6 linked regions of the Mus musculus genome follow. The protein of the gene in region 1 interacts with the protein of each later gene in a pairwise test. Links are inferred from orthologs where the notes say so. Each region holds a gene or a part of one and is shown in the gene's direction. Other genes may lie near its edges.

What was found.
Region 2: the proteins of Lmna (region 1) and Tor1aip1 interact in a two-hybrid assay, tested with the Homo sapiens proteins (2 studies listed by BioGRID). The link is inferred for Mus musculus from reciprocal best matches to the Homo sapiens genes LMNA and TOR1AIP1.
Region 3: the proteins of Lmna (region 1) and Bnip3l interact in a two-hybrid assay, tested with the Homo sapiens proteins (2 studies listed by BioGRID and IntAct). The link is inferred for Mus musculus from reciprocal best matches to the Homo sapiens genes LMNA and BNIP3L.
Region 4: the proteins of Lmna (region 1) and Vamp4 interact in a two-hybrid assay, tested with the Homo sapiens proteins (2 studies listed by BioGRID and IntAct, with this or other methods). The link is inferred for Mus musculus from reciprocal best matches to the Homo sapiens genes LMNA and VAMP4.
Region 5: the proteins of Lmna (region 1) and Fam161a interact in binary tests that used the Homo sapiens proteins (3 or more experiments, as listed by UniProt). The link is inferred for Mus musculus from reciprocal best matches to the Homo sapiens genes LMNA and FAM161A.
Region 6: the proteins of Lmna (region 1) and Iffo1 interact in binary tests that used the Homo sapiens proteins (3 or more experiments, as listed by UniProt). The link is inferred for Mus musculus from reciprocal best matches to the Homo sapiens genes LMNA and IFFO1.

The regions. Positions count from the first base shown.
Region 1 is NC_000069.6:88,499,797-88,505,247, reverse strand, and holds the start of Lmna (prelamin-A/C isoform A precursor), read left to right. Parts: upstream 1-1,895; 5' UTR 1,896-2,144; coding exon 2,145-2,500; intron 2,501-5,451.
Region 2 is NC_000067.6:156,033,245-156,038,583, reverse strand, and holds the start of Tor1aip1 (torsin-1A-interacting protein 1), read left to right. Parts: upstream 1-2,103; 5' UTR 2,104-2,348; coding exon 2,349-2,826; exon of another isoform or gene 2,827-2,920; intron 2,921-3,376; exon of another isoform or gene 3,377-3,394; coding exon of another isoform or gene 3,395-3,398; intron 3,399-3,766; exon of another isoform or gene 3,767-3,903; intron 3,904-4,783; coding exon 4,784-4,858; intron 4,859-5,339. UniProt on the Homo sapiens protein: Required for nuclear membrane integrity. Induces TOR1A and TOR1B ATPase activity and is required for their location on the nuclear membrane. Binds to A- and B-type lamins. Possible role in membrane attachment and assembly of the nuclear lamina.
Region 3 is NC_000080.6:66,987,765-66,992,428, reverse strand, and holds part of Bnip3l (BCL2/adenovirus E1B 19 kDa protein-interacting protein 3-like), read left to right. Parts: intron 1-2,919; coding exon 2,920-3,023; intron 3,024-3,144; coding exon 3,145-3,294; intron 3,295-4,653; coding exon 4,654-4,664.
Region 4 is NC_000067.6:162,587,109-162,591,772, forward strand, and holds part of Vamp4 (vesicle-associated membrane protein 4), read left to right. Parts: intron 1-1,087; coding exon 1,088-1,188; intron 1,189-2,356; coding exon 2,357-2,436; intron 2,437-4,664. UniProt on the Homo sapiens protein: Involved in the pathway that functions to remove an inhibitor (probably synaptotagmin-4) of calcium-triggered exocytosis during the maturation of secretory granules.
Region 5 is NC_000077.6:23,007,073-23,011,146, forward strand, and holds the start of Fam161a (protein FAM161A), read left to right. Parts: upstream 1-1,274; 5' UTR 1,275-1,368; coding exon of another isoform or gene 1,369-1,554; exon of another isoform or gene 1,555-1,559; intron 1,560-4,074. UniProt on the Homo sapiens protein: Involved in ciliogenesis.
Region 6 is NC_000072.6:125,143,491-125,148,721, forward strand, and holds the start of Iffo1 (intermediate filament family orphan 1), read left to right. Parts: upstream 1-1,733; 5' UTR 1,734-1,766; coding exon 1,767-2,539; intron 2,540-5,134; coding exon of another isoform or gene 5,135-5,231. Other genes in the region: Nop2 (probable 28S rRNA (cytosine-C(5))-methyltransferase), read left to right, coding at 511-1,151. UniProt on the Homo sapiens protein: Nuclear matrix protein involved in the immobilization of broken DNA ends and the suppression of chromosome translocation during DNA double-strand breaks (DSBs).

The DNA.
Region 1 (5,451 bases):
GCTCACCCACCCGCCTCTGCTTCTTGGTTAGGAAGTAGGGGAGGGAGAAGCAGAAGAAATGGTTTTTGCTGTTGTTTTGTCTGGGAAGTTGAATGGCAACCACACAGCCCGAGGGACTACAGGGAAAGGAAGCCATGTCCTAGGTTCCCTCCCCTAGATGCATCCTGGGTCCTCACCACACTGGAGTCACCCTCACAGAAATAAGAACTCTCCCAGAACCCAGCGCAGTGGCAGTGGCACGTGCCTTTGATTCCAGCACTCTGGGGGCAGAGGCAGGCAGATCTTTGAGTTCGAGGCTGGCCTGGTGTACAAAATGAGTTCTAGGACAGCCAGAAGTTCATAGAGAAACTCTGTCTTGAAAAAACAAAGCGCCAGGCGCACGCCTTTAATCCCAGCACTCGGGAGGCAGAGGCAGGTGGATTTCTGAGTTCAAGGCCAGCCTGGTCTACAATGTGAGTTCCAGGACAGCCAGAGCTATACAGAGAAACCCTGCCTCGAAAAACCAAAAAAAGAAAAAAACAAAAAAACAAAAAAACAAACCCCCCCCCCACCACCAACAACAACAACAAAAAAAAAAACAAAAAAAAACAAAAAAAGCAGCAGCAACAACAAAATCTCTTAAGAGTCCCAACTCAAGCCCACTGCCTGGACCTGCAGGAACTGCAAGCTAATCAGCAATGGACAGGGGAAAGCACATGGCAAAAGGGGAAGGAACATGGCAGAAGGGGATGCCAGGGCCAGTAAGGCTTAGGCTAGGGTTACAGGAGAGGATTAGACAGCTGATCGGGAGTCTTTGATGGAGGCTGGAGACCCCGGGACATGGAACCAGGGGACCAGGTTACTGTATTGGGAGATCATCTAGTCAGGGCCCACCCAGAACTGGCTAGACAGGCATGCAGTGGCTGAGGAGGGGGTAGCTTTGCTGTTCTTGCTCACACCGTTTAAGATGGAACCAGGATGGAGACCCTGCATTAACAACCCTCTGACCCCGTTCCTCTTTTCAGGCCCTTCTCGAAGCCACAAAAATCTGGAACCTGGTGTCCTGGCCATGTGCTGAATGCACGCACAGCACAGCTCTGGTATCTGTTTTAAATTATCCATTAAAATAAGTACAGTCCTGGAAAAAAATAAGTACAGTCTTGGATTTGGTTGGGTGGAGTGAGCTGAAGAAAGGGGCTGAAACGAGGGATTTCAGCAGCCCCTTTTTCCAGCTGTCTAGGTCCAAATGAAAGGGGAGGGGGGAGTGGGCGGGGCCAACTTCTGGCTTCTATTCTTGGCCTTCTCTTGGGGACTGAGGCTTATTTCTTAGATCTAAAACCCAATGTTTGGTTTTAAAGCCAAAAATATAAGGGAAGTGCATAGGTTTGGGTTTTGTTTTTTGTTTTTTCCCGAGGTCCTTGATCTTTGCCCCCAAATTTGAGGGCATAAAGTAATCCCTCAGTTACCTAAAAACACAGCCATTCCTTTGCCATTCCACTCTCCTGGATTGGCCGCTTCTGTGCGCGGGGGAGAGGTGACTCACTATTACTACTGAGGAAAGGGGAGCCAGTGGTGGAAGTGGGGTGAGTCACTGATGGGCAGCAGCTTCAGCCCTCCCCCCAACTTCCTTGGCTCTCTGGGGATGCCTGATCCTCTCCCTCACTTTGCACCTACTTCCCCTGGTCCCTCACCACTACCCTTTGCCCACCCACTCAAATTCTTTGGCTCTGCTCTTTACTCCAGAAGGCCAAAGGCAAGCTTAGAGTTGAGTAGGCAGGAACCAACATTGTGAAGCCCCAGGCCAGAAAGGGGTGTTCTGCAGAGTGAGGGTTGGCATGCTGGCTCCTCCTCACCATACCTGCCCCCGCCCCTTTGGGTACAGGATGGCTCCTTTAAGAGCAGTGGATCCACCCCCTGTAGAGGAGGGCCTATTAGAGCCTCTGCCTGGCTGTCAGTGACTCAGTGTTCGCGGGAACGCTGCCTCAGCCTCAACACCAGCCAACCCAGATCCCGAGGTGCGCCAGCGCCCAGCCCAGATCTCCACGCCTGCCAGGAGCGAGCTTCGCCGGCTCGCTGTCCCCCTGAGCAGCCTCTGTCCTTCTGTCCAAGTCCCGCGCCCTTCTCGGGACCCCTGCCCAGCGGGCAGCACTGTCACCCTGCCGGCCATGGAGACCCCGTCACAGCGGCGCGCCACCCGCAGTGGGGCGCAGGCCAGCTCTACCCCACTGTCGCCCACTCGGATCACCCGGCTGCAGGAGAAGGAGGACCTGCAGGAGCTCAATGACCGCCTGGCCGTGTACATCGATCGCGTGCGTTCCCTGGAGACCGAGAACGCGGGGCTGCGCCTTCGCATCACTGAGTCTGAAGAGGTGGTCAGCCGAGAGGTGTCCGGCATCAAGGCGGCCTACGAGGCCGAGCTGGGGGATGCCCGCAAGACCCTTGATTCTGTGGCCAAGGAGCGCGCCCGCCTCCAGCTAGAGCTGAGCAAAGTGCGTGAGGAGTTCAAGGAGCTGAAGGCTCGGTGAGTGAGGCCCGGCCGGCCGGCACCAGGGAGGCAGCAGTCGCCTGTAACTGGCCATCTAGTCCCCTCCCTCCCCGGAACTGCCTCCCGCGGGTGACTGGCAGTGCCAAGGGTAATAGACATGATAGGACATAGAAGGGAGGGGGTCTCTGTGAGAGGGTGGGGGATATAAAGAGTGGTGGGGGCATTGAGACCAAGTAGCGTTGGTGACAGGGCCTATGCTGTCAAGGTGGGATTTTTCAGTCATTTGGAGCTTGGGGGATGGGCTTGAGGAAGGTAGAACAGGCTCTACCAGGTCTTGGAACTCCCGAACGCCGCCCGGGACACATCAGAATGGGTGAAAGGGTTTTATTAGAACTTTCTTGGTAGGTTTGGCACTTTGCCAATCTTGCCCAACGTGGCTCTGAACACATGATGTCCACTAAGACATAGCGCCCACACTGACATTTGTCCAGTGGTACTGTAATGGAGTTACCAAGGCTGCATAGCCCCTTTCTCCCATGGCTGTGTAAGCACGGCCTTCTCCTGGTTCTTTCTAGGAGCTGAGAATGTCTGGAGCTTTTCCTAGACTCTCAGGCCCACCAGAAGCACACCAGGAGATCTGCTCCCCCGCAGCTCCCACAGCCCTTGGCCTCCCTGGTCGAGGAATGCAAGGGAGGGTGGGGAGGGAGACCGGGCACAGAAGCTAATGGCTCTGGAAATTCTGTTATGCCTGAGTCGGGGACACCCCAGTCTGGGCCCTCTCTGTTTGGTGACTTAAGGGTTTTGGAAGCTCTGTCCTTTCCTTGCTCAGCCAGCGAGCCACTTTCATTTTTCTAGTCAAGCCAGACTTTACTCTGGCCCATCCTCTGAACTGTTGATGTCTTGATCTTACTAAACCTCTGGAATACAATGACATTTTTGAAATCCAGCCGTTAGGGAGCCTCAGGCCACTCCCATTGCACCCATCCCTACCCCACCCTACCCCACCCTACTTGGCTCCACCTACTTTCTAAAAAGGCTTTCCAAAGCCTGGAAGTTTGGGCTCTTGCTCCCTGTACTTCCATTTCGCTCTGTGTCTGTGGTCTTTTCTTCTATGTTGTAGACCCAAGACAAAGAGCTTTGGACATTGGACGTGCGCACTGATACCTAAGGGGCTGGTAGCTTTGACTTCTCTTCCTCTTTTTCCTTTTTGCATTATCTTCTGACAAAACCCACTGTGTATCTGTGGTTGGTCATTCTATTCCTTACCAGATTCCAGCCCTAGGTGGTGAGTATGGCAAGCCCATTGCCTCAAGTGTGAGCAGAGGTCATGTGCACAGATGGGTCCAGCTTTTCTTTCTGCTAACAGGAATTAGCTGCCTTTTCATCCATCCACTAGGGATATGAACACCTTATCAAGAAATACATGAGGCAAGTTAGAGGAGTCCCAGTGAGTTAACTAGTTAGTGATCTAAACTAGTTAAGTCAGCCACCAAAGCTCTTGCAGATCCTGGTGTAGAACTTGTATAGTAGATGTGGGGACAGGGACAGTGGAATCTATAGCTTCTTGTTCATCTAGCCATGCCAGTCTCCTGCCCCCAGTGCAGCTGTCCAGCCTGGGACACCAGGTGGTGTGTACACACGTTGGGTAGGGGCTGGGTGATGTGTGGACTTTTTAAATTTAGCCACCTGCCTCTATTCTCCACTGATGGTAACTGAGGAGGCTGGGCTTCCGGGAAGGGGGTGGGTATACACACCTAGGTCCCTGCTGGTGGGGTGGAGCAGAGGCTAAGTGCCTGACCTTCTGTGTCCATCATAGAAGACCACGGCTGCTACCCCTTTCTATAGCTGTTGAGCTCAGACTGAGGTGGAGAAATGCCCTGGAAGTCTGGGGAGGATGAAAGGCATTGTCCAGTAGCCCCTCCCACCAGGGGCCGGGTAGGGAAAAGTGACCAGTTTAATGTTTAATTGGAGCTCAGAGTTCAGGGTCAGGCTTGGAGTTAGACAGAACTGTGAGACCCTGTGACAATCTGTGGCATAGCTCAAGTTGGGTCTCTCAACTGCACCCACAGGCCTCTGCTTTTCAAGGTGGATTGTAAGTTACAAGGAGGAGGTGGAGAAGAGGGGGGACAAAGCCAGGCAGTGGTGGTGCATGCCTTTAATCCCAGCACTTGGGAGGCAGAGGCAGGTGAATTTCTGAGTTCGAGGCCAGCCTGGTCTACAGAGTGAGTTCCAGGGTACACAGAGAAACCCTGTCTGGGGGGGGGGGAAGAGGGGGGAGGAGACAAAACAACTCTCTCCTTCCCTCTTTCCTCCTCTTCTCAGGAGGTTTAGACATCTAAGCTGGGAGAAGGGGACAGTTGGAAGCGAGGGAAGGCTCACCGCAGGCTTAGGGCTGGGCAAGCCTTCCTCCAGCTAGACAGCTGCATGAATGACTCAGACGCCACCCCTCCTACCCTAGTGGCTTTATAAGAGACAACAGGAGACAGGGAGTATAGACTGTCTGCATATCTGCATCGGCTATCCTCTCTCCACAGCATCCTGGGGTCCCTTTATCGTCTCCCCTATCTTGAGGTTTATTTAAGTGTGTGTGAGAGTACACACACATGGGCCACGGTGTGCACGGTAGGACACAACTTGGGGAATTTGGTTCTCTCCTATCTAATATGGGGCTTGGGGGTCAAACTATGTCATCAGGCTTGGCAGCACGCACTGTTACCCATAAAACCTTCTTACCTTCTTCCTTGGAACCTCTGATAGTAATTCTAGCACACAGGAGGCAGAGGCAGGAGGATCACCAGAAGTTCTGGTTAGGCTAGCCTAGCTTACAGAGTTAGTCCAGGCTATATTTATAGTAAGACCTCTTCTCAAACAAAACAAAACAAAACAAAACAAAACAAAACAAAACAAAACAAAAGGATACAGGCAGTACTGTAGTTACTACCCAACTCACCACTCTTGTGGAACACTCAATACTCTTCTTTGTGAGG
Region 2 (5,339 bases), on another chromosome or scaffold:
ACAGAGGATGGAGGTTTGATTCTCAGCACTCACATGGTGGCTAACAACTGTGTAACTCCAATTCCAGGGTCAAATGCCCTCCTCTGGCCTCCATTGGCACTAGGCATACTTGGTATACAGGCATACATGCAGGCAAAACACCTATACACAATTTTCTTTTTAATGTAAAAGTTGCTTAATTTAGAGAGCCAATATAAAGAACACAGGATTTCTAGAAATAATTTTGTCAGATACACATACCAGTTAATACCAGTTTATTTTTGTGCATCTGTCTTCTCTAACATATGGCAAATTCTCTAAGTAAAACTCTTCATTCTTCCACATTTTTCTAGTTCCCAAAGAAACTGTTTTAAGTTCAAAGCTCAGATCGTCACACTCATGGCCCAGAAAGATCTCTTATAATACTGGAAATGAATCTACTGTCTATAATAATCTTTTAGAATATATTCAAGGCTGGCTCAAAAGAGGTTGGAAAACACCTACAGCAGAATATCTGGTTTGACAAGAATTTGGCTTTAACTCATAGTAATCCAAGTTTGTTTTTTGCAAAGTTGTTAGGTGTGGGTGACAGCTTCTAAAGATGACACATACCTATGACCTAGGCAAGAGGGAAAAATCCTAAGCAAATCTATGTTAAATGCGAAGTTAACTGCCTCTAAACTTTAACATCCTTATTTTTTCTTTGAAAAAGCCACTCATAAAACTACTTTATAAGTACTTTTAATTACAAAACAAAGCACATGCCAATTATCCAATAATCTTTGTAACCTCTCATTTTCTCTGATTGACCAATTATGTATAGAACCTCTTCACTTTCTTTTTCATGTATCCTTCAAACCAGAGTTTAACAAGCCAGCACCCAGGTGTCTTTAGTCATCTGTTGCACACACTGCCTTATGAGCTTAGAATATAAACACTACAAAAATTTATATCCTTTCACTGCTGTACATCTATTAAAGAATTTTTGTGATTGTTGACTGTGTAAATAGGCACTTTACAAACAAAGCATTACTGGAAAAGACACAAGCCAAACATTACCAAGTTATCAGTACTTCTCAGCGTTTTGTAGAAAAAAAAAAGCCACACCCAGTTTTCAGGCTACCACGAATGAGTATCACTTTCGTTTTTCCTTAAGTTTTGTTTTCTAAAAAAGTGCTACCAAGTGTGGTGGCCCACACCCTTAATCCTAGCGTTTGGGGAGCAGCGGCAGGTTGATCTCTGTGAGGCTGAGGCCAGTCTAGTCTACAGTTCCAGGACAGGCAGAGATCACCCTCCCTCCCTCCTTTCACTCACTTACACACACACACACACACACACACACATCTTTAAAAAAAGGGCAGCTGTCTCCTTATGGCTCCCCTTCTTTGTAGTTAATAAACAATGCTAAATGAAGCTCCAAACATGACTCTTGAGTCATCTGTGTTGCTGACCAAATTTATAGACTATTTGTGAAAATTCTAGTAACTGGGAATTTGTCTAAGTTTGAGTAACAACTTAAGGTCATTATTTAAAATACTGGAAAAAGGCAAATACTTTTAAGTTTTTTTTCAAAATCACTGTTATGTGGCTTCCAAATAAAAACTCAAAATCGATTTTTTTTTTTTTTAGGGCTAGGGTATAGCTTATTGGTATACCATTCACGTGAAAATTCAAGAATATGGTTGATATGGCTACGACTCAAAAATGGAAACACACCCCAAGAGTGTAACTAAACACAATTTTAAAGGGTCAACAGGTGAATAAAAATTTTAAACTGGGTAAAAGCAATTTCATAAAGGTCCATGAAACTATAATTTTCGCCATAAGATGACATGCAGAATTGCCTTTCTGATCATTTCTCCTCCCAGGGACATTTGAAAAGGAGTGGCCAAAGTAGCAGGGGAACTGCGCAACAGCTTGGGATCAAGGACTGAAACTTGCCCTTTCCCAAAGCCTCTGGGAGCCAGGACCAGCGCCCCCGGTGGTGGGCAACTGGCCATCAGCAGCTTGGCACAGGCCACTTGTCCTACCACCTCCTGGTCGCCCCCACCTTTCCCTCCAAGGCCAAGGACAGAGACGTCCTCCTCCCCCTTCTCCTCCTCTTTGGTGCCTTCAGCCAGGAGGCGGGAGTGACCCGCAGCAGCTGACCCAGCTCGGGCACTGCCTCTCCGACAGCCCTCAGGACACACCATGGGCCTGGAGGCTGGTTGGTGGCACACGAGCGAGGACGCAGGCGGCGGCCCCGGCGACTCTCAACTGCCTCCCTGACCACTGCGACAACCTCCCCGAAGCCATCGCCACTACCCGCAGCGGAATCTATCTGCGGCCAATCTATCGCCACGAACCGACTACCAGCTACGTAAACAACTATGGCGGGAGAAAGGTGGCAGGCCGAGGGGCCCGGAGAAGGTTGGGCCATCTACGTCACACCCAGAGCCCCCATCCGGGAGGGAAGGCGGAGGCTCGACCCGCGAAATGGCGACAGCAGTGACGCGCCTGCGTACGGAGCTCACCCGTCGCGCCGCGGACGACGGGAAGTGAGGTTTTCAGAGGAGCCGGCAGAAGTGTACGGCGACTTCGAGCCCCGGGCGGCCAAAGAAAGGTCTCCGGGGGGGAGACGAACCCCGCCAGAAAAGTTCCGGCCGGCTTCTGCGGGAGAGGAAGTGAGAGAAAGCGCTTACAACCTTCGCTCTCGACCACGGAGGCAGCGGCGAGCCCAGGAAGCCGAGGAGATGAAGACGCGGAGGTCTGCTCGCCTTGAGCAGCACTCACAGCAGCCGCAGCTGTCTCCGGCCACGAGCGGCCGAGGGTTACGGGACTCTCCGTCCTCCAGTGAGGACCGCGAAGGTAACAGTCTCGGCTGCGGGCTCGGGAGCGCGCGCGGCGGCGGGCACGCGGCGGCAGGCGCGCCCCCGTGGAGGCCGGCCCCGCTCCGGCCCCGCCTGGGTCCTGGTGATTTCTGCGGCCCTTTGGGCGCGCACTCCCGGATTGAGTCCACCCGGACCCTCAAGAGGGAAGGACGCAGTGGGCCGCGCGGGAAGGTGGTGGTGCGAAGTGACCCGAGCGGAGGCGGGCAGCTCTGCCTAGTCCTGGAGCTTCAGTTTGGGGGGTCTAGGTCTCCTCTTTCTGTAGGCTTTTGCTAGAGGTCGGCGGCTAAGCCATTGTCGGAGCCCCAAACTACTCTGCGCTCGGTTTCATTTCCGTCCTCTGAAGTTTCTACTGAAGCCACTTCCATTTCCTTTTTTTTTTTTTTTTTTTTTTTTTTAAATCTCGGGGGCCCCAAGTCCCCAGCTGAAAATCCTGTTTTTAAGTTAACTTTCCAGTCGGTTTCTTTCGTTTTTTTTTTTTTTCACCAAGATTGGGAAAACGAGATCATTTCTAGGCGGATGCTACGAGGAGTAGCTGACTTTAATGAATGGGTTGGTGACATTACTCCAAATACAGAGTCTGGTCTCTGCCAGACTTTCCCCCCAGATTGGAGGCCATCACGGTAATCTTAAGTAGCTAAACAAGTCAAGACTGACAAACTACTGAAACAAAACAAGGTTCTATTTATTAGTAAAGCTTATATATGAAGCCCCAGATGCCAACAGGGTGTGTACTATAGTTTTAGTTAAGTCACACAGATGAACCAAATTCTTCAAGCCATCCTCTTATTCCCTGCACTCGGATATAACTGAGTCACAGGTGGTTCCAGTAAGCCCCATGTCAGTCACCTAATTATGAGGTAAAATTCTGAGGGTTAGAGTCACAGTGGGATGGCCTCCCTAATACATTTGATGCATCTGAACAGGAGTGGATTTAAAGCTTAGAGCACAGTAAACTGGCTTGCAGATTTACCTACTTGCCCTTAAAGTCCTGACACACTTGAAGATCTGTTCATTTGGGAAACTTTATGCTAGAGATGTGCATGCTCTTTTGGATGTAAGGAGACAGTTTATTTGCTTATACATGTCAGCATTTCTTTTAAGATGGCAAAGTTGGGAGAAAAAAAAAGGAACCTGTCACGCATGTATGCCTGGTCGAAATTTAGGTACTTGTGTTAATTCTGTCTCAGAAACTGAGACAGTGTTTGCACATGGGAGGCAATGTAACTGTTACTTTTTATTGACTTTCCCACAGAGCCTCCTGCACCTAAATTCAGTTTACCTTTTATACATTTTTAGAGGATTTAAACATTTCTTTTACCTGACTCTTGAACCTACCTTTTAATTTTTTATATTTTCTTTATTTACATTTCAAATGTTATCCCCTTTCCTCATTTCCCCTCCGAAAACTCCCCTATATCCCCCCCCCCCCCCAACCAATCCAATCCCTCTCCCTGGCCCTGGCATTCCCCTACACTGGGGCATAGAGCCTTCACAGGACCAAGGGCCTAACCTTTTAACTTGCTAAAGTAGCATTTTTGTCGTAAAGCAACAAGTAGTGGTTTGTATGTTGTTTCACTTCCATGGTTTGCAGCTGCACGTACCTGTGTGAGTATGTGCACGTGAGTACAGGTAGCCTTGGAAGCCAGAAGATGGTGTTGGGTCCCTTGGAGCTGAAGCTACAGAATATCGTAAGCCTTTTGGACTTCGGAAGTCCTCGGAAAGAGCAGCAAATGCCCGTAAACACTGAACTCTCCCCAGCCCTCATCATACTCTGTCTTAATAGGATTTCTAACTGGTTTAATTCCCAAGTTTTGAACCTAGAGAAGTTGAATACTTGCATCTCTCTGTATAGATTACTGGTAAATATGCATACTGTGTGCCATGGTCTCTCCCAGGTCATCTAACTTGAATTTTACCTCTTGTTGGTGCTGTAGAGGATGAACCTTCTTCCCGACCTGTTACAAGCCAAACAGCCTCAAAGAAAACTCTTAGAACACCAGAGGCTTCAGGTAAGAAGAGTTTGGTCTTTTGGTTTTCTCTTTTCCTGCCAAAGACTCATGAAGAATCACAGCTCAAGCTGGGCGTGGTGGCATATGACTGTAATCCCAGCACATGGGAGGCAGAGGCAGGCGGAACTCTAGGAGTTCAAGGCCAGCCTGGTCTACAAAGAGAGTTCCAGGATAGCTAGGGCTGTTACACAGAGAAACCCTGCCTGGAAAAAACGTACATCAATCAATCAGTCGGTCAATCACAAGAGGTTTGTGAGTCTTATCAGTTCACTAAATTCAGCCCTATGGGTACTTGCTAAACTAAACAAGGGCGAAAACAAAATGTAAGTTCAACTGTCTACCACTCTGTTAATCTTCAGAACCCCGCAGAGAGAGACGGGAAACTGAAGCTCTGAGTATCTAAGACTCTTCTCTAAGATCACCTGATACATGAGTAAATTAAAATTCAGGCTCAGGTTTGTCTTTGTTTGTTTGTTTTGTT
Region 3 (4,664 bases), on another chromosome or scaffold:
TGTGGTGTTTTTAGTCCAGTTAAGGGAAATGGGGAGAGAGACACTTTGTCCTCATGGTTATCACTTAAGATGACAATGCAAGTCAGTGTTGGAGTCAGGACTGAAAGCAAATCCAAGCCCATGATCTATCTATCTAGTCCTTCCACTGAACTAACCTCTGAAGGGAGTTAGTCCCAGGAGAGCTTGCTGGGCACACAGAGAAACTTGACAGGACCGCAGAGCCGTGGGGTGGGGATTCCTAAGCTGGCACAGAGCGTTGTTCTTACTGATAGGACGATGGTACTCATGAGGCCCCATTGTGTAGCAAGAAACATTTACACTCTCATGCCGACACTGTTGTTGTTGAGAATGGGTCCAGTGCAGAACTGAGATCTTTGGAAGTAGCTTCTTTCTTATCTTGTGAGACTCTGGTTTATTTGTATGTGGATACAGGCGTGCAGCTTACTATCCCGGTTTAGAGACTTTGAAAGGAAGATTAACTGAGTGTAAGATAAGGACTGTGAGGTGGTGAAGACAGTTGACTGGAAGCATGTGTCCAGGGAAGAGCAAAGCATGAGTCCTGTGTGGTTAGATGAGGGGCCCTTTTGTCATATTCTTTAGTCACAGGAAGATGGCTTAAAATCTCAAAATGAACCAAGCATAGTGTTAAGGTTTATTGCAGTTTCTGGACTCAGGAGGCTGAGAATCATGAGATCTATAGGGCAGCCTAGGCTCTAAAGAATGTTTGAGGCTGTCTCACCATCCCCTCTCCAAAACTCTGGGATTGACAAATTTCAGACAATAAAAGAATGTAGAATCATGTTAATATTAGAGTTTAAGGTTAGAAATGTGTTTGTAGACTAAAATAACTATATGACTCCAATGGTAACTTTGCTTTATTCCCGTGGAGGAAATCTCATCGTATTCGAAAATTCAGAGCACAAATCTCTCTGTTTGTACTCTGAAAAGAATAAAATATTAACTGGTTAAAAAATACCTAAGCTAAACCAGAAAGCAGGCATTCTGGGAGGCCAAAGGAGGAACTAAGAACAAACTACCATCTGGCTAGAGTGCAGTTACTGAGGCAAAACTCTTGCCTAACATGTGGGAGGCCATGGGTTTAAGTCTCCAGCATTGCTGAAACCAAACCAAAAGAACAGGGAACCAGCAAGACAGCCTGAGTTCCACCCCACATTGAAGCCCCAGCACCCACATGGTGGAAGGAGTAAGTCAGCTTTTACCTGTTGACCTGTGGCTTCTACATGTCATAAATAAACAAACAAAAAATGAAAACAAAAGAATCTCCTATAGGGGCTGGTGAGGTGGCTCAGCGGTTAAGAACACTGGCTGCTCTTCCAGAGGTCTTGAGTTCAATTCCCAGAAACTACATGGTGGCTCACAACCATCCGTAATGAGATCCAATGCCCTCTTCTGGTGTGACTGAAGACAGTGACAGTGTACTCACATAAAATAAATAAATCTTAAAAAAAAAAAAAAAGAAGAACCTATAGTAGTCTGAAAACTCACAAATGTTGTGCACACATGCTGCTCAGTGCTTGCAGCATGACTGCTGATTGGCTTCTGCCTGAGGATGATCTCAGGGTTGCTCCACAGAGCCAGCTCATGATTCTGAGTAAGCTCAGTGCCTGCTGGGAAAAGCTCTGTCTTAAATGCTGCATTGTGTTAGTTGGTGGAATTTGCCAACTTCAGCAGAACTAGATAAGGACCGTGCTGACAAAGGGACGCAAACATCCCCTGAGCTTTTGGCTTGGATTTGGTAGTAAAGGGGTGATGTGTAGAGCCAGGCTCACACTCCCAGACAGCTGAGTCCCGAGGAACTGGGGCTATGGGGAAAGCGTCCTGTGAAGAGGCCAGGTGGCTTCAGCTGTCAGTCAGAATCAGAGTTTTGGGGCTCTGGTTTGGAGTCACAGCCTCACATTCCTTTGAAACTAAATAAATACAACTAATGTGTCATTTTTAGGAATTTTTCATCTCTCCCTTTCTGTTAAAAGAGTTTTCCAGACATGATAGCCCAAGTCTATTATCCCAGCAGTTGAGATCAAAGGCCAGCCTGGCCCCATATTGAATTCCAGGTCAGCCTAGGCTACAGAATGAGGTACTGTCTCAGAGAAACAAAAACAAGAAAAGGCATGTGGAAATGTAATGGTTTTTTGTTTGTTTATTTGTTTGTTTGTTTTTTTCTGGCCTGAAAGCTTAGGTTATCATTAGCAATAAAAAGAATATTTTTCATTTATTGCAATAGATGTTAACTTCTGGCTCACTTCAAAATAGCTTATTCCAGAAAAACTTGACTAATATGTTTTCAAAATCTTGAGAAATATTCATCTTTAAAAAAAAATCTTTCAGAGAGTAAGAAACCTGGGCCTTTGGAGCAATTTGCCTGGGTTAGAAAACAGTAGTCTTCCCCTTTAGTTACGAGGCCCTCAGCAAGGCACACACGCCCTGTCCTCATTTGTAGAGTGGAATGCAGCAGTTTCTGTTTGGAATTGACCATGGTAAAGTTTAATGAGTGACATTGGCTTTAGTAGATGCTGGTCTCAGGTGGTTGGCAGCCTCATGATTTACCACATCCCTTTGCTAACTTCCTCACAGATTTAATTTGTTCCCATCTCCTTTTTGGTATGTTTATTTTAAATGCAGTTGGGAATATGTACAGCATAGGAAGTTTAATGTTGAGAAGGACACAGTGAAACACTACGTGTGCATCCTCGGGTTCAACAGCACCAAGGCCACAGCATTGCCACCCCTGCAGAGGACTTTTCCAGGGTTACAGTCTACTTCAGTTTTAGAAAACAGCTTGTTTCCTCCATTAAAATCACCAATACACAACTTTGTATTTAGTTTGTTTTTTTATTAAAAAGAATTGTTCTTTTCTGTGTTTCTTTTGTTCCTTTCTTCTCACTGTTTAATTCTTTTTAGTCAGAAGAAGAAGTTGTAGAAGGAGAAAAGGAAGTTGAGGCTTTGAAGAAAAGTGCAGACTGGGTATCAGACTGGTCCAGTAGACCCGAAAACATCCCACCCAAGTAAGTTACTGCATGTGTCTGGGCGGGCGGTGTGATTTCTGTGCTCATGTGGAGGGGCTTGCTCAGGCCCGGCATCTGCAGCACTTGTGGTCTGATTCCAGCCTCTGAACTTCTTCCCCAGAGAGTTCCATTTCAGACACCCTAAACGTGCTGCGTCTCTAAGCATGAGGAAGAGTGGAGCCATGAAGAAAGGGGGCATTTTCTCTGCAGAGTTCCTAAAAGTTTTCATCCCATCTCTCTTCCTTTCTCATGTGCTGGCCTTGGGGCTCGGGTAAGTACCCTGATAGAGTCATCATGTGACTTAATGGGACTTAATGGGACTAGGCAACAAGGCAGTCAAAAGAAAGGAGCCATCATTATTTATCTTTTATGAGTTATTTAAAATTTGGCTAATTGTGAGTAATGTATAAATTATTAAATATAAATGTAGGAGTAAATGAAAAATGCTACCCTCCCTCCCCCAGATGGTAAAACACCATTGTGGAGCATGATTCTGGAATACACTGGTAGGCTGCTATGGGTACCGTCTTTGTCTTTTAAACTTTGTGGCATTTATTCAAAAGTCAGCCAGTATTTCCCTTAATTCATTAACTTGTGGCATGTCTTTTCAATTAATAGCTTCCCCCCCCCCCCGATTTTAATATTTTAAGAAAACATACTTCTGAAATATTTTAGTTTATAAACATTAGCTTAATTAATATTAGTTTCAAGTCCTACCTACTATGCTCTGAGCATGCCCAGTGAGTCTTTTTCTGTGTCTGATGCATGGAAAGTGGATCATTGCTGATCTTGCTATGAGTGGCTCAGCATAGCAGAGGGAAGTGCCTGCTCTGGAGCATGGGCAGGTGTGCATCTTCCACTGTCTCTCCTGTAGAGGATCTGTTCCTCCAGACAGGGCCAGTATTCACAGACAGCTGAGTGAGAGGCGCTTGTGGAGGAAACAGGATAGGAGAGTGTGGAGCTTGGGAGGACTCGTAATACCTGCCAACTATTCAGTTCATTTACCACAAAAGCTTGGCTTGGGGGCCTTGCAGTATTTCTTGCTTTCATGAATCTTCAAGCTTTGTTGTTGCTTTAATTAAATTTAACTCTTACCACAGAAAATGTTTTAAAGGGGCCTTAAAAATTGCTGCGATATTGTTGAGGAGTTTGCTGCCTGTTTTTCTTGGCCGTTTTTTGCTTTTGCTGTTGAAAGGGTCATGTTCTTGCCTGGTATTGGAAAGCCATGTTAGGTTCCCATCTTAAAAACACTGGCTCTGTGACCACCATCTCTCTAGATTTGAAATAGCAAGAGAACATTTTATCTAAAAGGACTCAGTTGGAGGCTGGGGAGTGCTCTGCTTTGGGCTTTGAAGGGTTCTAATTTCCTTAGCCTGACCTGGCTTAGCATCCCTGCCCTTGAGCTTTCCAGTCCTGACTTAGAGGAAACAGAATCCATACAGCCATTTGCTCTGAGCTCATCAGGGGCCTGTAGCTCAGTTGGCACATGCTGTTTTAAGGTTGGGGAGTCTGGGAAGTGTGCACAGAGTCTTTCAGGGCTGTCCCAGCTTGTCAGCAGAGATCTCCCTATGGGCCAGGCTGCTGTGATTGTGGAAATAGATAGAACATGATACACTCTGCTTCCTTACAGCATCTATATTG
Region 4 (4,664 bases), on another chromosome or scaffold:
GTAGGACAGGACGGATGATCTCTCTCTCTCTCTCTCTCTCTCTCACACACACACACACACACACACACACACACACACACACACATACACATACCCACAATGACAAATACATATTCTTATTTGCTTAAATATATGTGGGTTTCTATGTGTATATAGTTGCTAATAGTTATTATGCTTTACACATTTTTTGAGTTATAAGGACCAGAGATTCACTTTATTTATCTTTTTATATATTTCTTATTTAATGTTTCTTATTTAAATATTATTATATAAAGTAATTTAAGATAGATATTTGTCTATGGATAGAACATCAGAGGAATACTAGACATGCAAGTATGTCTGTGTTTTTGTAGGAGGTAACTCCTAAATGACAGATAGCTGAGAACATCTGACTAATTCTTCAGCTTGTTTCAGTTTTCATTAACCACTCTGAGTGTGATTAGAAGAGGCTCCCATCACATAAGGAGGAGAACATCTTCATTTATACACTGAATTGTTTTGTTTTGTTTTTGCCTATTAGTGAGCATTTCCCAATATTCTTTGGTGCTCCAAGTTGTCTTGAATCTTGCCTAGGCTGAAGAGAAAACTAATGAGCACTGAAGAGTTACATCCATTGGGTATCCTGTGGCTCAGAGGGGTGCTGTACGTTTCCATTTTGGGAACTAGCTATTTCTCATTAGCCTTCAGTAAACCCGGTGAAGCACGTGGTAAGTCTTGTGGCTGGAGTGCGTTGCAGAGGAAGGTGGACTCTGATTACTAGTTTTAACTAGTCTTTCACTACTTTACTGACAAGAAGATGAAACATTTAGAGTCACACTGAGCATTCTGTCAGTGTCTGGTTTGCTTGTGAGCTACATTGAAGATAGAATCAAGACTAAAAATAAGCTGTCAGTTAAGTATTACTTTAAAGTGTATCTTTTGTCCTTAATTACTTGGCTATTCAGACCCAGAAATGGAAGAACGCTGCTTACTTTTATAGTTTAATGACAACTCTCAGTTCTCTGAGAATTTGCCACATCTAGTAAAAGTTCTAAAAGTGTGGGGTTTTCTAAAAGAAGAATAAATGTTACCTTTTTTTTCAAACTAGTGTTCAGAATCAGGTGGATGAAGTTATTGATGTAATGCAAGAGAATATTACAAAGGTAATTGAAAGAGGAGAGAGGCTGGATGAACTACAGGACAAATCAGGTACAGCCACTCGCTGCCCTTCTTGATGTTGTGACTGTGTGTAGCTAATGCTTACTTTCCGTTTGTCTGATCGCCCACCCGCCCGTGTTCAGGAATCGTGGCTTCCGAGATCAACATTCAGTTCTTAAGCTGGATTTCCATGGCTTAGTTTCTGCCCATTAATGTAAATTATTGTACTGTTTACTTCTTACTGAGACAAGAATGGAGAGTTTAAAACTTCGTTGCCAAAAAGTTAAATCCTCTTTTCTCTTGCCCTGTCATATTGATGCACTTTGTGTTTCTTCGGATGTCAAGATGTTAAAATCTAATCCATTTTTTTTAGTACTCCTTTTAAACTTGCCTGCTATTTCTATTTAGTCTTCCCTGGTACTCAGGTAGTCTGTATTTTCCCACAGATGTTAGTCTCTGTGCCCATGATTCCTAGCACACTTGGACCTCGCGTATTGTTTGGATGATGACTTACGCTTCCCTGGAAACTTAGCAACTGTTGTTTACAGGCAGATGTTAGTCTGAGCCTGTAATGGCTCTTGGCACATGTTAGCCCTTCTTGCTGTGTTAATGGTGAATAGCTGTATGCCAGATTCATTCTTGATAGATTTGCTTGATTTTTTTTTTTCACTCAAAATCAGTTATCTTTGTTTTCTAAAAATTAAAATTTTTTTTTGTGTGCAAATTTTTTCTAGAGATGTGCCAAAGTATTTATTTTGTTTCTGGTGTGGGATCTAGTGTGTACATCAGGGATCTGCCCATGGGCAGCATCCCCAGCCCCTAATTTAAAAACTTTTATTACATTAATTGTGTGCATGTGGAAGCTAGGGACTTGACTCTGTCCTTCCATCACGTGGGGCTCTTTGTGTCAAACTTAGGTCGTCAGGCTCTGTGTCCAGCTTATTTTTAAACTCTTATTTTCTTACCAGAACTAAGTTCGTGGATAAGAAGAGTTCTGGAAATCATGAGTGGGTGTCAGGGTGAGGGTGGGAGAGTTGACAAACTGACCTTCCACTGTGTTTTCCTTTGTTTTGTTTGTTTGTTTGTTTGTTTTAATGGAGACTGACAGACTCTGTGGGAACCAAATTTTAAGAAGTAGTATTACTGTTTATCTTTGTATGACTATATAAAAGAATGCTGTTATGTCATTTAATCCTTCTCTCTACCCTGTGTGATATAGAAAGCTTATCGGATAATGCCACCGCTTTCAGCAACAGATCCAAACAGCTTCGAAGGCAAATGTGGTGGCGTGGATGCAAAGTAAGTGAGGGGTGGGGGAGGGGCAGCGAGGCAGCAGCGAGTCTCTGAGCTTGTGAGGACAAACACTGGAAGGGCCTTGCCCAAAGCTTCCTCCCCTAGGAAACAGGAGCAGGGCAGTGCCTGAAAGGCTGCACTCAGCTCTCACCATCAAAGGGCCCTGCGTTGGTAGGGATTCAGCATCTGGACACGTGGTGACAAACACGTGCCCTTCTTAGACCCACTTCCACTTCTTCCTAGCTCTTGGAGAACAGTTCACTGTGTACAGAGTGGGTTTGAATTTGGTGTTTTGTTTTTTGTTTTCTGATGAGAATGAAAATTTGAGGAAAGTGTGATTTTGTTTTATTTTCATAGTGGGAAAAACAGTAGCAGTTTGTATGCCAGAGACTCTCCTAACAAAAGATTAAGGAAAAAGACTCATTTTATTCCTTCATAATTAAATTTTAATAAGGACAAATGGAATCACTGCATACTAATATTTCTGCAGAAATGAATTTCTCTCTTAAATATGAACAATCATGAAAAATATCTTGATTTTTCAAAAACAATTATGTCATGAGAACAAGTGTTTCCTTTTTCATCTTGAATCTAGGTATGTGTTTTTATTTTGCCAAAATCCTTAAACATGGATTTATTGTTTTTAACCCCTCATTTTAGGGTTCAGCAATAATTTTCTAAACCCAACTTTGCTATATGGTAAGGATCTCTTCGAAAACATGTCTTCGAAGAGAAAACATGAAACATGATTTACCTGTGAAATATTCTGTTCCCAGAAATAGAAGTGAAGGAGGACAAGTTTCATTGTTCTCTTCACAATGAATTTTTTTCCCATTTATTTTTGTTTGCTTCAGAGAATAAATTTTGTATTTTCTTTCATTTCTTCTTCTTTGCCTCCTCCTCTAATGTTTTAAAGAGATTTAAATATATATAGGATGGTTTTTTAAACAGGCAAGGCCTTAGTTTAACTTTGTGGACCACGGATAGCATCCAGCATCTAATAAACAGCATTATATCAGTAGCAAGTGCCTCCTCCCTAAGGGTTCTGTTTCTTCAGTCTCCTCCTACACTATCAGTCACGGTGTTCCTGCTCATCTGGGGAGGTGCCCCAGGCCTCCTATTTTTTGGATTGACTTTCATCGTAGTGATTTAGGAAGGCTATTATAAAAAAGGAGATTGGAAAAAAAGATATCAGAGGCTGCCACTGGGGGAAGGGTGTGGGGTGGTAATGGGCTGCCGCTGATAATGAAAGAGCTTTGAGCAGTGGTAGGACTGTGTCTGTCTATGACAGTGTTAGATAGATGGGCGCTGCCCCAAGTTAGAAACCCGAGGACGAGCAGACGTTTCAGTACAGGCTCTTTACACTTTTCTTGATATTTCCATTTCCATTTTGTAAAGTTCAGCCTAGTAATTTTATATTAATAGGACACATTAATATATGTTTTAGGAAAGCTACTCTTAAATTCCATGTTATTTAGAAAATATTTTTAGGTTAAATAAAGAATTGAAGTATATTTTAGTGTAAGCTCAGGTTCAAGACTTTTTATATTTTTAAGTTATAATTAAAAACCTGGGCTTTTATATCTAAATTCCAAAGCTTTTTGTATATTCCTTGCGTGACTTTGTTGGTGTCACGGCTACAATGTCACGAAGTGTTAGCAGTCAGTCTATGTTTAAAACATTTAATTCCTAGAATTTAACATTTAATTCACTAGAATGAATCAGCCTTTTATGATATTGAATATACTGATTTTTTAAAATTTTTCAAATGAACCTTATAAAATCTTGGAAATAAAAATAAATCACACACAAAATTAGGCAATATATCTTGATGGCCTTGTGTGTAGTTAGAACAGCCACTCTGAAGCTGTGGAGGCTCACACACTGGACTTCACTCTTTCATGGTCTAGTACATTCTTATGCACTGGTCCACTAGAACAGTGACTTATTTTAAGACTGGCTGCCCTGAACGCAGAGATTTCCAGTGAGTTCCCTGCCCCGAGTGTTGGGAGTAAAGGCATGATCACTCGTGCCTGGCAGCCACAGCCATTTTTAGTTATGTACAATGAAAATGGTGAACGAAAGCAAGGCTTTTGATTCATCAAGGAGATAAAATTAGTTTATATAATGTATGATTTTAAAAGACAATACAATGGTGATTGTGGCAGTTCCATGTAGAAAGATAACATGAGCTTAAAGTGTCAAGCGGCTGACTACAGTGTGATCTTAAGGCT
Region 5 (4,074 bases), on another chromosome or scaffold:
TGCAAATTTAGAATACTGTCAGCCGAAACTTTCCTATTCTATGTACACACTGATGTCCTTCATATCCATTATTTACTATTTCATGTTCCTAAAACCATCCCACTTACAGGGCTTCAGTCTGTCAATAGGTCTTGTTTACACCAAGTCCCATCACAGAACTAGTTGCATGTGGCTGGCAGAAAGTCACTATTCTCTCATTCAGATGGCTATGGATCCCTCCCCACATCTAGCTTTTCAGAACCAACCAGTATCCATCATCAGTTCCGTTGGAAAAGGCAAGCTCAACCGTTTTGAAACAGGAGGCAGGGAAGGTAAGGTGATAGGTGCTTCGCAGAGGGGAACAAGGAAGGGGTGGTAACAACTGCGTCAGAAACAGGTTCTGTGGAAGGTGTGCCGCATAACGTGGAAAGTACTGGAACCTTAGGGTGGGGACAGGGGCGCTAGCTGGGGTTCTAAGTAAAGTGTTATGCTGCAGGTGGCTGAGAGTTCACTGAAAAAGCATCCAAAGTGGCCAAAAACCTGAGGCCGATCAGGAGGTTGGCAGGGCTGAGCTGGGAGGGTGTGGTCCTTGTAGGCTCTCGCCCCCTCTAATCTGCCGCTAAGCTAGCTGCAGAACCGCTAGACAAGCTACCACATCTCACTCACTGGTCTGAGTGACAGACACTTCCTATGTCTAGTGTCTTACTGGTCAGTCGAGAAAAAAGAGGGTGGGACAAATAAGTATTCTCCTTCTGATTGGTCAACCCGCTGGTTCTTGTCAATTAGAGATGAACTGGGTTCTCCGCCATGTTGAATAGCGCGCTGCAAAGCCTGTTCTTTTCTTGGGATGGTCACCCAACACCCGGTCCTTCCTGTCCCTCTGTGCCCTAATATGTTGATCCAGCTAGTTAAAACGCGCTTTCTGCTTTAAGTCCGTATACCGCGAGAAGTTCTCGTTTAGGTAGTTAGACAGAAATAAAGCTAGAAACCAGAGAAAAGCTCAGTCCCTTGCCGGAGACCTGGGTGTCATTCAAGTGAATCAGTAATTGTTCCGGCGCTGGTGAGACTCCCATTGAGCAATTAGCTTGAAGATTGCGTTTTACTTTAGCTTGCTGTGGTAGTCGTTTGTGTAGCTTCAGACAGTTATGCTTCTAGAAACCGCAGGCTTGTATCAGAAACCATCATTAGACACTAGCTGGACTCGGGGTTCGCATTTGTGACAGTGAAAAAGGACGTTGCGTGCGTTATGGTCCGTCGCCACCTCCTGTAGCGTCCCTAGTAACCGAGCCCCTAGTAACCGCTCGCCCCAAGCCAGGATCTGTGAGCTAGGTGGCAGCGCCTGCACGCCGCCCTGGGCGGGCGCGGGCGCTTGGGCTTGGAGGCGGGGCGATGGCTTCGCCGCACCAGGAGGCCAGACTGGCGGCAGCCAGCCTTCTCCTGTCTGCAAATCCCATCACCGGAGCAAGGGTCGCCCAGTACGAAAGCGAAGACTCCTTAGAGTCCTTGGTAGCAGCGGGGTTGGCGGCGGCCATGGAGGAGGAGGAACAGAAGAAAGTGTGGCAGATGCGGGCGTCGGTAATGTGAGAGCCCGGAGGGGTCTGAGGGCTGTCCGATCGTCTCGGGCAGGACGGGTGGAAATGCGGTGTCCTCTGTAGACCCTCCCTGCTCTCTGCCCCAACTAAAGGTTGCTGCAAAACTTTATTGGAGAGTGGTTTTTTTATAGCTATTTCTAGAGTATGCAAAGAACAGAACTCTACTTCCTATTTATTCTCCAGTATATCTTGGGAATAAATAATTTTTTAGTTCTGATTTTTACATTTATTTTTGCCCCCCCCCCCCCCGAAGACAACTGATGTGCCCATAGTTTTCATAAAAGATCAACTTTCAGATGATAAGTTGTACTGACAAGTGTGTTTTATCAGTTTTTGTTAGGAGTGGATTTTAGCAGTCCATTAGCAAACCGTGTTTGAAGTTCAGTGGACAGATGCTCCAGATGTAGAGAAGCATCCAGATAAACAAACCGCCGAAATCCCAGTTCCCTAAAGGGATGATATGGGTGCAGTGAGATCTTTTCACAAAACATTTTCAGTATTATGTCCTGGATGTGTTATATGTTTCTAGCAGAAGGATATATATGGAGGAGGAGATTATACACACACACACATAATCTCTACCTCTGGAAAAGCAACCAGTACTTATAACCACTAAGCCATCTCTCCAGCAATGCTTTTATTCTTTAAAAATTTCATACAGTATATTTTGAATGTAACCACCCCCTCTCCTTCATCTGTTCTATTCATTTTGTGTGTTTGTTTTTAGATTTATGTGTATGAATGTGTGCCTTGGGAGTTACTGAGAGTTGTGAGCTACCATATGGATGCTGGGAATCAAGCCCAGGTCCCCTGCAAGAGCAGCAAGTGCTCTTAACAGTTAAAACATCTTAGCATCCTTTTAAATTTTTGTTTGTTTTCTGAGACATAGCCTGGCTGTTCTGGAACTCACTCTGTGTAGTCCAGGCTGGCCTCAAACACACAGAGCTCTGCCTACCTCTGCTTCCTGAGTTTAAAGGTGTGTAATAAAAACGCCCAGCTTTTATTCACTTTAAAAGCCGGGAACCTTGGACTTAAACCAGCACTCTGCTGGGATAAAGCACCAGGACGGGCACTCGCTCCCTCGACACCCTGTTCCTTAGCAGTGCTGGGGTGGGCCGAAGGGTTTGTGCTTGCTAGGCAAGTGGTGTACCAACAGCTACATCCTCGGCTTTTTTGTTTTATTTTAGACAGTGACTCCTTTGGTCCAGGATTGCCTCAAATTTGCTATTTGTGGCTAAGGATGACCTTAAACTCCTGATCCTCCTGCCTCCACCTTCCAAGTAATGGGATTAAGCGTATGGGGCCCCAGGCCTGGCCTGTAGCAAATGTTTCAAGGTTATGTAGAGTGAAGCAGAGCCTAACCAGCTATGAGGTTCAGAACCCTAGGACTGGTTTATACCTGATAATCATTCAACACAGCCTGTCATAGGTTACAGAAGGTGAAATGCCAGGGAAGGCAAGAGCTTGGACCCGGGTCAGAAGCCGTTTTCTTCTATGTGCTGGGTGATCTTAGGCCGTGATTTCTGTTTCTTTGTCTATAAAAGGACTATAATTGTCTCCGTTTTCCACCTTATTCAGTTGTTATTAAGAACCAAAGGAGAGAATGGGTGTCATTTCTAGAGTAATTTACATAAATTAGTAGTAATTGTAACAACTGCCAGCTTGAACAATTCACTTGGAAATTGATTTATACTTTGGCTTACTACGGCAGAAAGGTCTGTCCTTTGTATAGTTGTACTTATGTTCCAGAGTGCCCTGCTAACTGAAGATTTTTGTTATAAACTGAGTTTGGGTTTCCAACACCCAAATACAAACCCAGTGTGTTGGCTTTTGTCTATAATCCCAGTGCTGGAGAGAGAAGAAACAGGCAGATTCCTGGAATTTGCTGAAAGCCCTACCTCAAAAAATAAAGTGGACAGTGGCTAGGGAATTCAGCTAAGATTGGATGTTAGCCTGGAACCCCTGCTTATCCCCTGCACAAGCTGGGGAACTACATCTGCCCTCCTGCCAACCCCACCCACCTAAAGAAATCTCCACTGTCTGCTTGGAGAATACTCAAGCTAACATGTCAGCGCTCCTTGTCTCTGAGTTTCAGACAGCCTGCCCAAGAGTGCCCATTTGGGGGCTCAGTTTTTGACCATGCATGGACACAATCCCAGCTCCTAGCTAGCATGGCAGCACTCCCAACCTAAACTCTACAAGATCCCCTTGCTTTGGCCTGGATCTCTCACACCTGTGAGATCAGTGAGCCCACCTGAGAGCAGCCTCCTAATAAACCTGCCTTTATCTACTTCTAATCTGGTCTAATCTGGTCTGTATCTGTGTCACTGAGGGGACAAAAAGCCTGTCACTGACCTCTGGTGTACACACACACACACACATTCTCTCTCTCTCTCTCTCTCTCTCTCTCTCTCGCACACACACACACACACACATACACATTCTCTCTCTCACACACACATTCTCTCTCTCTCACACACACACACATTCTCTCTCTCACACA
Region 6 (5,231 bases), on another chromosome or scaffold:
TTTTTGTTTTTTTGCCAGGTTTTTTATTATTATTATTATTATTATATGTAAATACACTGTAGCTGTCTTCAGACACTCCAGAAGAGGGAGTCAAATCTCATTACAGATGGTTGTGAGCCACCATGTGGTTGCTGGGATTTGAACTTCGGACCTTCAGAAGAGCAGTCAGGTACTCTTACCCACTGAGCCATCTCACCAGCCTGGATTTTGGTGTTTGAAGACCGGGTTTTTCTATGTAGTCCTGGCTCTCCTGGGACTGGCTCTGTTGACAAGGCTGGCCTGGAACTCGGATCCATCTGGCCCTACCTCCTAATTGCTGGGATTAAAGGCTGTGCCACCACCACTGCCTGGCAACTGCCTTGGTTTTTGTTTGTTTGTTTTTTGAGACAGGGTTTCTCTGTATAGCCCTGGCTGTCCCGGACCTCACTTTGTAGACCAGGCTGGCCTCACTCAGAAATCTGCCTGCCTTGTTTCTTAATGATCAAGCCATCTGTTTAATTTTTACCTCAGGAAACTCGGCAGCAGCTACCCCTACAGAGCCTGACCTGAAGGATCAGGTCACCCCAAAGTCTGAGAACGGTAGTCAGCCCACCAAGAAAGCCCGTGGGGCTGTGAAGGCAAAGCAGCAGTTGCTGAGACAGCCACATTCCAAGAAGCCCTTCCAGAAGTTGAACGGCATCGCCAAAGGGCCAGGCTTGTCCACTGAACCTTCTGTCCCAGATGCCCAAGTGTCTACCAGGCCCAGTCAGTCTGCTGGGAATGCTGACGTGAACAGCAAACGAAAGAGGTCTGAGAAGCTGAAGCAGCGGGGACCTAAGTGGAAGCCCTCTAAGGAGGCTGCTGTCCCAAAGCCGAGCGCCCCTTCCAGGGTTGAGGACTCGAGAACACCTCCTGTGCCGACTCCCTCTGAAATCCGTGCTGCCCCAAGGCCTAAGGACTGTGCTCCATCCCTTGGGGAAGCCAAAAAGAAACAGAAAGGAAAGCAGCAGTTAGCACAGCAGCCTGCTAATGGAGCTGCTCCCCTGAAAGAAGATGCTGTTTCCAAGGGACCCTCAGCCCCCTTTGTGTCTCCCCACAGTTCCACCAGGCCCCCACCAGCAAAAAGGAGGAAATCAATGACAAAGGGCAACAGCCAGCCTCTGTTGTCTTAAATGGACTTGGAAACTTGACATTGTCTCTGGGTTGGAACTTTTAGATCCTGATGCAAGGCTGGCCTCCCCCTGTGCATACATATGAAATTTAATATACATATTACCACTCCTAGTTGCTGTTGTGTTTTTTGAGGGGACTGGGTACTGGCGGTTTGTAGGAAAGTGGGCCTGGGTTTCTCTGGGGAGAGACAGTTGTGCACTATTCAAATGACTATTCAAATGGTAAATTTCTCCCTCCATTTCTTAGTCTTCATGGGAAAAAGTAAAGGAGTCCGACCCAGGGTACCAGGTAGAAGAGAGGGCAGTAGGGAAGACTGTCTCTAAAGAGCCAGAGGTCCTGTGCCTACAGTCAGAATCTTAGGCTGTGGCTCCCCGGGAAGGGCTAGTCTGGCTCCTGCCGGGGTTGACCCCACTCATGGGGCCTCAGACCCGGGAAAGGTTCAGCGCTGATGCCCTAATGAGGGCCTTTCATTGGCCCCCTCTGCTCCCTCCCTTATGACCTTTGCCCTCCTGCCGGGCTATCTGATTGGTCACTCGTATCCCACAAGCATCTCATTGGCTCTTCTCCTCACCCTCTGCTGCACTGGTCTCCTTCTCCCGGCAGAAGGCGCAGCCATGAATCCGTTATTTGGTCCCAACCTCTTCCTCCTACAGCAGGAGCAGCAAGGCTTGGCCGGGCCGCTGGGGGACCCTCTGGGAGGTGACCACTTTGCCGGGGGAGGGGACTTAGCCTCGGCTCCGCTTGCCTCGGCCGGCCCCTCTGCCTATTCGCCTCCGGGGCCTGGTCCGGCGCCCCCCGCAGCCATGGCTCTCCGCAACGACCTAGGCTCCAACATCAACGTACTGAAGACCCTGAACCTCCGGTTTCGCTGCTTCCTAGCCAAGGTGCACGAGCTAGAGCGCCGAAATCGGCTGCTGGAGAAACAGCTGCAGCAGGCTCTAGAGGAGGGTAAGCAGGGCAGGCGGGGCCTGGCCCGCCGTGACCAGGCGGTACAGACCGGCTTCATCAGCCCGATCCGGCCCCTGGGGCTGCCCCTGAGCTCCCGGCCGGCCGCCGTGTGCCCCCCATCAGCGCGGGTGCTGGGCTCGCCCTCCCGCTCGCCAGCTGGACCCTTAGCATCCTCTGCCGCCTGCCACACATCATCCTCCACTTCCACATCCACTGCCTTCTCCTCGTCGACCCGCTTCATGCCTGGCACCATCTGGTCCTTCTCTCACGCCCGCCGGCTTGGACCAGGACTGGAACCCACGCTGGTGCAAGGGCCTGGCCTGTCGTGGGTACACCCTGACGGGGTGGGCGTCCAGATCGACACCATCACCCCTGAGATCCGTGCCCTGTACAACGTGCTGGCCAAAGTGAAGCGGGAGCGGGACGAGTACAAGCGAAGGTAGGGACAGGGTTCAAGACATGCCCCACACAGACACGACAGGGGCAGGGAGTTAGTTAGTGAGGGTTCCTAGAACGGAGAAGTGGGGGGCGGGGGGTGGGGGGCGGAGGGCAAGAATCGTGTTAACAAGAGTTGAACTTCCTGTGATGATGAAAAGTGAGGAGCAGGGAAAGATTTGGTTGCAGGGACCCCAGAATCCACAGACAGTTCTCAAGTCAGACTGGTGGCTCGAAGCCTTCTAGAACACTGGGAACTGATGCTTTCTTCTGGCATGTCTCCCTGTCTTATGCAGGCTGCAGTGTCTGCGTGACTCTGCTAACTGTGGGGTGTTGTGTGGTATGAAAGGGAGACATCCGAGAGAGCTCTGCATCTGTGGGTCTTGGTTGTCGGGCCAGCTTCAGACCTTGGGGGCAATTTCAGGACATAAACTCCACATATGGGGTGAAGGATGCGGCTTTAATTCTGGAGGCAAATTAAGTGAAGTTGGAAGGAGGTAGTGAAGGGCGACTGTGCCTGCCCAGGGCCTCCTCTAAGGCATGTCCCCAGAAGCCAGGTCTCACCCTGGTTCCATACAAGAGGCTCAAGGACTCCGGAAGCTAAAGATATTGCTTGGAACAGTCAAAACACACAGGAAAAGAGAGAAAGGGTATGGGGTCTCCTAGGACAAGGAGAAGGGATGGCTGTCATAAAGCTGGTGGGGGCGCTCTATCAGAAGAATCTCCAACCAGAACCAAGTAAAAAAAAAAAGTTGGGACATGGGCACGCCCTACAGAGATACAGATCGGCTATCTCAGGACCAGCACTGTGTGTTCTGAGGGTGAAGGTTTGGCTTTCTGAGAGGAACCCTGTCCCCAGCAGGTTAACATAAGAGTTAAGAGGAAGGGATGTCACATTGGAGTGCTGGCTGTTTACCAGGAGGACTCCCTGGATGGCTGGTAACCAGGCAACAGGACAGGGCCACAGGCAGAGAGAGTTTTCTCAAGGCTGACCAGGCCCTGGTTGAGGAGGAAGTTGGTGGCGGTCAGAGGGGAAGCCCAGATTTGGAGGCTCCAGTGTCTTACCTAATGTGACCCTTTGGGGGATAGCCTGGTCTGTGTGTGCAGGCCAAGGTGGCAGGGATCGCTATCTGGTTATAGCCGTGTGTGAGGACTATTTGGAGGCCCTGGAAACACTTTGTAGGCTCTGGGTGACCTTCAAGGGTTGGTGATCTCTTAGCATCCCCCAGATCGCATGCATCAGCAGGCTTCCTGAAGTTCAATCCTCACCCTGGCTTCCATGACTGTGGCCCATGTCTTTGGGTTTTTAGTTATCCCAGCCTCTAGGCACCGCCCAGGGCCTGCCCGCACCTGCCTTCTCCCCTGAAGGGCTTAACAGCCAGTGGAGCATGGACAGTTCTGGAGTTCTGCTCTAGTCCTAGGAACAGCTGCTCCTCTCCAAGCCATCTTTTAAAACAGAGACTGTTTGTCCTTGGTGCAGCTGTCTTGGGCAGCAAAGAGTTATCCTTGGGGACTGGTTAGCTCATCACTGCAGCACAGGGTCGTGCAGAGGGCCCGCGGCTAGGATTGCATGGTACACGACACTCGCCCTTCCACCCCAGTGCCCCCTCCCTCCTTCTGAGCTCCTCACACCGTGCCCCCACACCCCACTCCGTTAGCCTGGATGGCATGCAGAGCTTGATTATTAAACTGGGCGGGATGGAGGCCCCGCCACCCCCTAGCTCCTGTCTTTAGCTCCTTTGCCTGGGTGATATTTTTCTTGGGGCTCAGTTTTTCCAGTAATAAGGATGCTCCTTGCTCTTTCCCTTCAACTCAAATATAGGATTTATTTGCAGGCGAAGCCTTTGGTAAATGTAGTAATTATGAAATTTGCCCAGATTCTACCCAAGTTATGGGAACCTTGCAAAAAAAACAAACAAACTGAGATTTGAATGCAGGCCACACTGCACCCATCGGTACCTGGCTGGAGACCACTGCGGGCATCTAGATAATTCAGATTTCTTTCCCTGTATGAGCCATCTCATTAAGCATCATCTTGCCTTAAACTTGCTCGTGTTTCACTGGGATTTATCAAGTTCATCCCTGACGCGTCTTGGCCAGGGTCGTAACCTCTTGTCTATCCTATGGGCTTTTCCTCTAGAGACTCACAGACTCTAGGCACACAGGATGCCACATCCCATACTTGTAGAGGAAGAAACCAGAGCCTAGCAAAGACAAAGGTCTCATGTAAGAAAACGTGTAACGTGAGGTTATCAGACTCTGTCACTGCTGGAACAGAGGGAGAAGCAGGCGAGGGGGAGTGCAGGGCTGGCAGGAAACAGGATAAGAGGGTGTGAGGGAGGGCCACAGCTGAGCTGCATGGTCAGCTGCAGGGTGGTGGCTAGGCTGGCTGCCTCTTCCCCTGGCTGCCTGGAGTTATTATTAGGAACACTGCAGTGCGGCTGTAGGTGCTGGACATGGGAGAGTCATAGAACCCGAGAGGGCGAGGGAGGGGCAGGAGCAAGGAGAGAAGGGGCCCGAGAGCTTAGTCCTCCTGACTGCAGAGGCTGTCCTCGGCTGCCTCCTCTCCATGGGTCTCATTTCGAGTCTTCTTCTTCAGCTCCGTTGCCCTCCTTTCTGAGGCCAGAAGAAGCCTGTGCAGGCAGAGTGCAGGCGGAAGTGATGAGATCACGCACACAGGCATTGCCTTGGGTGCT